2 linked regions of the Caenorhabditis elegans genome follow. The protein of the gene in region 1 purifies or fractionates together with the protein of each later gene. This does not show direct contact. Each region holds a gene or a part of one and is shown in the gene's direction. Other genes may lie near its edges. The genes, in order: perm-4 and mtcu-1.

Region 1 (3,924 bases):
CTTATTTAGACTTACTATTTAGGATATCACAATATAGTATAGGTAACCCTTACGTGATACATACTAATGCACACGTGATACGGAATAAACCTAATCTTAATAACTTGAATACAACTAATTATACCTACTGACAATACATCAAGATTTAGTCAAATATCTATAACAGCTTTACTTTTTAACGTGTCTAAATCAAGTTATCTATCAAGCTACAGTAACCTTACAGTCCGTTTTTCCTAGTTCCAACAGAACCAACAGTAACGCTTACCTTCTCAGGAGCCTCGGTGCTCACAGCGCAGGTGACAGCGGCGCAAAGTGCCAGAGACGCGACGATCCAAGTGGTGGAAAACATGATGATGATCGGAGCCAAGATGCTTCGCCGCTTTTATACTTGAGATCCGCCAGAGATATGGAGGCGGGAACTCGGCATTGTAGTTTGAGGGGAAAACGTTAGGCGTTGGATAAAAAACAAAAAGGTTTGGAGCGCAAAAATGTTTGCTACGGAACCTGGAATTAAATCTCACAGCTGTGGTAACTGAGCCAACAAGTCAAAAGGCTCCAATACATGGTGAATCACTCGGACTTGATCAACTGGAAAAATGTTCCTTAACAGTTTTTCTACAGTGTTCTAGTTCAAAATGTGTTGATTTTCTCAAAATACACTTTGCTAAAAGATACACAAATTAGTTCTTTGAACCCCGCTGGATCTCAGACACATGTTGCAACACATCCTTAGGTCACTTTTTTTTCGACCGACTATTTTTTTCAGCTTTTCCATTTTCTTTTTTCTTCGCTGCTCAATCCATCACACATTCCGCTGGGCTCTTTTTCCTGCCGGCCGCAGCCGCCGCCCACCTGATTGCAACATGTTATATGAGAAATGGGATGATTGAGTGGGCTTGGAATTTCAGACATTTCAGATGATTTCATATGGAGCAACTCGTGATGGGTGAAAGTGCAATTGAATGAGAATGGAGAAATGTGCAAATACCTGGAATTTGGGCATGAAATAGATAATTAACGTATTATGTGAAAAATTTGTCTGACAAGGAAAGTAAGTTAATCTAGTCCCGGACTTCGAATCGAGACGTATGTCATTTGAAAGCTTATGGTTAGCCTAGATCACCGCAAAAATTTCAGATTTTTGGAAAAAAATAAAAATTTCCAAAAAGCTTCCACACTGTTTGTTTGACCCTAAAGACCCCCAAAAACAATTTTTAACCGCTCTAGCCACTTTTAAGGCCATTTACTTGACCTAGAATTCAGCAAAAAAATGCACTGGAGCACTTTCAGATGGCGCTTTCAGGGGTTCAGAGTTGAGTTCCGCCGCTGAAATTTTTTTGGTGATCTAGTCTAAACATAAGCTTTCAAAGGCATATGTCCTGATTCAAAGTCCGGGACTAGATTGACTTCCTTTCCTTGTGAATTGAAAGCTTTGGAGTGATTTATAGTGTTCCTAATGGATTTCTCTATGGATTTGCCAATAAAATTTCAACAATTTACATATCAATGAGCAAATTGCAAACACGTAAAATATGCATTACATAGTTTTACAAAGTTTTGTAATAAATTGATATTTATAAAAATACATAAGAGGGATACGAGCTGCTGAACAAAAATGCTGATTATGGTGCATTGAGAGTAGTTTTATTGTAAAATTTTGGCAGTAGGTTTTACATGCATTATTTATGCTTCAGATTCCCTTCTTTTTGGTGCATCGATGAAAAATTTACTGATCAACTTTAACAGTTCATATCTTCGTAGCCTTTGGTTTTATCAAAAAATTATCAACTGGCAAGTTATTTATTATTACTTTTTCTATAACTGTCTAGTTACAATTTTTTTGATATCTTGAAAATTAGCCGAGATATGGTGCAAATCTATCGATCATCTTTTCAATGTTTCCTCTTTTTTCCCCGTTCCATCAACTCAGACATTTCTACTTTCATCTTCCTCAAGCTTTTCCTCTTGATTTTTTTTTCTGTAGGCGGAGCCCATCCCATGTTCCCCCCGAACTATAAAAGCATGGCTCCGCCGACAAATCCATCATTCGATCGCTTTTCAGAAATGAAAACCGTTCTTCTTCTCACAGTCGCCTCGCTGGCCGCCGTCCTCGGTGCAAAGGTATATGGTTTTTTTGGATTTCCGCAATTTTAGGATAATCTGAAACATTTTCTGCAGCCAACACCCACCGAAGAGGTCAAGTCAGAGGCCGCTGCTGGTCGCTACGGCGGTCGTCCATCGTATGGAGGAGGAGGTTATGGAAATGGAGGAGGATATGGATACCCAGCATTCGGACCAGGATACTGGCAGCCACTTATTCAAGATCGTGAGTTCGTGAAAATTCAAATTTTAAGAGCTATAGTAATTTGGCAATAGAGCGCATTTGCGTAGACCTAGTTATGATTATACTTGTTTGAACCGCAATAGCCAACTTATTTCAAAAATGTAACATTTTTTGGGAATCATCAAAAAATTGACTTATTCATAGGTAGTTTTGTCAATTTTCAAATTTTCGAAAAATTTTGAAAAATTCATAAATTTCTCAGTTTTCGAGATTTTTCAATAATTTTTAAATCAAAATTAAGCTAGTTCTTCAAATTTTGTTGCAAAAATACTGTTTTTTTTTTTCAAAAAATCTGTAGAACTTAGGCCAATTTATCAGAATTAGAATTTTTGAAAATGTTTGAAAACCTGTAACTTTTCCAGTTTTTGAGATAATTGTTTGATTTTTATGTCAAATTAAAGATTAATTTTTTTTAAATTTTTTGGCAAAATTAACTGCGTTACTGTAGTATTTATTTAGATTAAATTTAATCTAGTTGGTGCAGAATTTCAAAAAAGCTACAATTTTCAAAAAATTTCATTGAGTTTAATGCCAAATTGAAGCTTAAATTTTATATTTTGAAAGAAATTGAAATTCGGTAGAAAACACACTTTTCCTAGGTTACGATAGCTTCCATTATTTTTTATACAAAATTCAAAAATTTACCCTTAAAATGACACAAAAACCATCCCAAAATCTCAAAAATTGAGAAAGTTATAGATTTTCAAAAATTTTTGAAATTTTGGACTTTTTTTTTTGGAAGAGTCAAATTTTATTGCTATTAAATTTTTTCGACAATTTTTATCGAAAACTAATTTTTCTTGAAAATTCAAAAATTTACCCTCAAAATACCACAAAAACCATCCCAATATCTCGAAAATTGAGAAAGTTATATAATAGATTTTTGAACATTTTCGAAAATTCATAACTTTTTTAGTTTTCGAGATTTTTTATTGAATTTATTGTAAAATTAGAGCCAATTTTTTAAAATTCTGTAGAACAAACTGATTTGAGTCAGGAATTTTTTTTGTCAAATTAACTAAAATGGTTTTTTTCTAAAATTTTCGAAAATCTACAACTTTTCCAGTTTTTGAGATATTTTATCAGTTTTTAAGTTAAATTGAAGCTGAAATTTTGAATTTTAAGATGAAAAATATTTACAGGCTTCGTATGCGACCTCGACGCCTCCGTGCTCCTCGTCGTCGACTCTGTCCGCCGCCATCATCGCCACCCACAGCCATACTACGGTGGAGCCCCATCCGTCCCAGCTAATCGTGCCGTTCGTGTAAAGTGCTCCGAAGTTGCTACCCATGATGAAGATTCCTGTAACTTCTGCTGCCAACAGACCGCCCGTCGTGACACTTCCCTTCCCAACGATCAACTCTTCGGATTCTTGGCTATTACCAAGGATGATGATGATGAGACATTCAAGAGATCCAAGAGAGGAGCTGATGATGATGATGATAATGATTCGGATTCTGATGAGAAGGACGGAAAACATGGACGTGGAAGATTCCATAAGGTTGACTCTACCTACTTGTCAGAGGCCAACTGGGAGCCAAAGAAATATCATAAGAATGTCAAGTGCGTGTGCTGTGCTC
Region 2 (3,924 bases), on another chromosome or scaffold:
ATGTACATATATTTATTATTGTTTATAGTTTTTTACTTCAAAATTTTCATAAAATTTTATTTTTCTTATTCTTTTTCAATCTTTTTTTCAATTTAAAGATTAAAAATCTTTCAATATCTCGACCCCTAACACTGTACAATGTCGATTTACGCAGCTCGTGTACTCCCCGAGGATAAGTGAAAAATCAATGGTTTTGGTCAAAATTGCATGTTTTGCTTAAATTTTGGATTTTGGCTTCTTTTTTAAATTCAAACAAATTTGTCGATTGGCCGATATGCCGGAATCTTTCAATTACGGCAATTTGCCGATTTGCCGGGAATTTCCATTTTCATGCAAAATAATTGCTGATTTAATAATATATGGCGCCCACGCCTGGAAACAGCGACGGTTTTTTGAAAAAGAGATATAATTGCGATTTGAACATTAAATTCGGAAAGAATCGGATCATAATCTTCTCCTCGTGGAGTACACGACTTCCGTAAATCGACAATCTTCAATTTTAAAATTCAATTAATTTTGTTAAGATTGAAACTATTTTCAGTAACAAAAGTTTCCTTCAATGCTCCTATGCCCTCCAACAAGGTGATTTGTTCTGATCTTTACGATTGTGATTGGTAAACAATAAAATAACTGAAAAAAGATTTAAATATGCCTATTTTATTCCAGGTATTGGGGAGATTTGGACTGGAAATGGGCAGAACGGCTGCTCCTTTTGTGCCCAATCGGATATTTTTTAATTCGAGACAGTCGAAGTGAAACTCATCTTTTCACTGTTTCTTATCATTTTCAAGGTATTGTTTTTCAAAAAATCAATTTTTTCCAAATAAATATAATTTCAGATAGAGTCTATCATTCGCGCTTGTCACTTGAAGATTCACGACGGAATTTGGGTAGTCGGCAGCCATACGTCTCACGTGACTATTGGAATCTTGTGGAAATTATTGAGAGAAGTTTAGAGGTATGTAGTACATTTAAAAATATCTATGATTTTTGATTTTAAAAAAATCGGAAAAGAGTAAAACTTTAAAAAAAAATTGTGACAGGCCAAAAAGGTCGAAAATATTTTTCGAAGAGTTAAAAAAAATCGAAATTTTCCCAAAATGTTTCCGGAAATCGAAAATATATTTTTTTAAAAGCAAATTATTTTTCCGAAAAACGGAAAAAAACTATTTTTTTTAAGTGAAAATAATTATTTTTCTTTTTAAAAAATTCGAAAACTAAAAAAATTCAAATTTTCCGAAAGTATGTCCTTTTTTTCTCAAAATTAGAAATTAAAAAAGAGTATTAATCAAAAAAAAATTTTTCGGAACATAATTTTAAAAATTAAAATTGAAAAACAAATCAAACACAATACAACCATTTTTTTTCATAAAATCGAGAAAAAATCCTTTTTTTTTCGAAAAACCAAAAAAAAATCACGAGAAAAATAATCGATTGTTCTAAAAAAAATTCACTTTTTTGCAGAAAAAAATTAAAAAATCACCATTTTTGTTCACAAAAAAAACCACATTCCCGAAAGAAAATAGTTCAGTTTTTTCAGAAATTAGTTTTTTTTTCAAAAATCCGAAAAAAACTGAGTTTTTCAAGCAAAAAAATAATTTAATGTTTCAAAAATCAAAAAAAATCGTAGTTTTTCGGAAAAAAACACTAAACTTTTTTCAGCAATCCCTAACAGGACAACAAGAAATGCTCCACTATCGACGTGGACATGAAGCCGAAGCAGCGCGTGTCAATTTAACACGTCCACTCACAAAACGAGAGCTTCTACCATCACTACAGTACCTCTGTCGATTTACCCTGAAAACGAGTCAACAAAAACCACCGACACCCAAAACAGCTCCTCTGCCACCAACGATTTTAAAGTATTTGAGTGATTCGAAATGGATTATTCCTGATTTGAAGAAATGTGAAGAGCAATTGAAATTAAGATTTTGTGTAATTAATAATTAATTGTTTTAGTTTTGAATTATATCGAATTACGGGGTTTTTTTTGAATGCTTAATAAATAACTTTTTTCTCTCAAATTTAAGTTATATATTCATAAAATCTCGGTTTCTTTCCAGAAAAATTGTCACGGATCCTGTTTTTTATTAAATTTTCAAACATTTTTTTAAGATCGTGAAAATTTTGAAATTAAAAAAAAGAACCTTTCGAGTAATCAAATTTTTTTTTAATTGGAAAAGAATAATTTTTTCAGGCATTTAGAAAATGTCGACAATCTTCGCCCTATCGTCTGGCACATTGCCAAGCGCAATTGCGATGTTCCGCGTTTCAGGTTAATTTTCAGAACAATTGAAAAAAAAAATTCCATTAGGTTACGAATGGTTCATTTTGAAAAAATTTCTGCCAAAATAGCCATAAACAATATAAAAATCTCTGAAAAAATTCGTACGATGCTCTTGCGAAACCCCCCCCCCCCCCAAAAAAAGGCTTTCTGAGCTTACTGTTCACAGTATTCACAGTATTTTTTCCAGGATCACAAAGCCTCCCCGTACTCCGCCAGCTGAGCCGTCGAAAAGTTTGGAAGCCGAAAACGATGAAATACACGAAATTGTACGATTCAGAGAGCAAAATCATCGATGAAGCAATGGCGGTATATCTTCCCGGCCCGAAAACGTTTACCGGAGAAGACACAGCCGAGTTTTTTCTACATGGAAGTCAGGCCGTGGCCGTGAAGTTTGCCTCATGTTTGGCTGGAATTCAAAATGTTCGAGAAGCGAAGCGAGGAGAATTCACGAGGAGGTTATTATTAGCATACGATTTTCAAAAATCGGGGTTCAAACCAGGGATGGGCAGCAATTGCCGTTCGGCAAATTTTTTTCGACAAATTCGGCGATTCCGGCAATTTGCCGATTTGCCGGAAATTTCAATTCCGACAATTTGCTGATTTGCCGATTTGCCAATTTGCCGGAAAAATTGTTTGCCGTCCACCCCTGGTTAAAACGCGCTCCACGGCTAAAAGTTGGGTCTCGCTAGGTTTTGGCTGCTGCAAAACCGTAATTTCGAACGTTTTCAATAAGTTTTCGTTATTTTTGTTATGTTTCCTGTCGTTTATTAATTAATTTTATGTTGAAAAAATGTCCAAAAGTGCTTTAATTTTTCATTTAACCATGAAAACAAAATAACATTAGAGTTTTTGGTTTTGCCGCCGAATAAAAATTCCAAACTTTCCGCAGTTGAGCGCGCTTGCACATCTGTTTCAAAATATTTTGAATGCATTTAAATGCACATTTTGGGTCTCTATAATAACTCTTAGTTAATTTACAGAGCATTTCACAACGGAAAATTGAGCATTTCCGAGGTTCGAGGAATCGATCGGCTAATTAAATCTCGAACCGAAAAAGAACGAAATGCGGCATTTGGTCAAATGCGTGGTGGAGTTCGAGCTATTGAAATAAGGTATTGAAGTGAGAAAAATTGGAATTTTATATTGTTCGCAAGCAATTTGAAAAAACAAAAAAATCCCTCGAGATTTGGAATTTTTGGAAAAAAAAACTTAAAAAAAAAAGGAAAAAAAAAGATTTATAGGGATTTTTAAAAATTTCATTAAAACTTATGATATCGTACGAGCTTTTCAATAATACATTTTTTCAAATTGCCGGAATAGAAATGTCCGGCAAATCGACAATTTGTCGGTATTGAAAACTTCCGGCGAATCAGAAAATTGCTGGAATTGAAATTTCCGGCAAATCGGCAAATTGCTGGAATTGAAATTTCCGGCAAATCGGCAAATTGCTGGAATTGAAATTTCCGGCAAATCGGCAAATTGCTGGAATTGAAATTTCCGGCAAATCGGCAAATTGCTGGAATTGAAATTTCCGGCAAATCGGCAAATTGCTGGAATTGAAATTTCCGGCAAATCGGCAAATTGCTGGAATTGAAATTTCCGGCAAATCGGCAAATTGCTGGAATTGAAATTTCCGA

The links.
Region 2: the proteins of perm-4 (region 1) and mtcu-1 fractionate together in Caenorhabditis elegans (co-fractionation; one large-scale study listed by BioGRID). This does not show direct contact.

What each region holds. Positions count from the first base shown.
Region 1 is NC_003282.8:1,123,226-1,127,149, reverse strand, and holds the start of perm-4 (PERMeable eggshell), read left to right. Parts: upstream 1-2,042; 5' UTR 2,043-2,064; coding exon 2,065-2,121; intron 2,122-2,178; coding exon 2,179-2,326; intron 2,327-3,486; coding exon 3,487-3,924. Other genes in the region: perm-2 (uncharacterized protein), read right to left, coding at 266-349.
Region 2 is NC_003279.8:14,773,281-14,777,204, reverse strand, and holds the start of mtcu-1 (TrmE-type G domain-containing protein), read left to right. Parts: upstream 1-2,197; 5' UTR 2,198-2,208; coding exon 2,209-2,275; intron 2,276-2,474; coding exon 2,475-2,742; intron 2,743-3,267; coding exon 3,268-3,399; intron 3,400-3,924. Other genes in the region: F39B2.5 (SH2 domain-containing protein), read left to right, coding at 568-614, 667-791, 840-958, 1,663-1,950.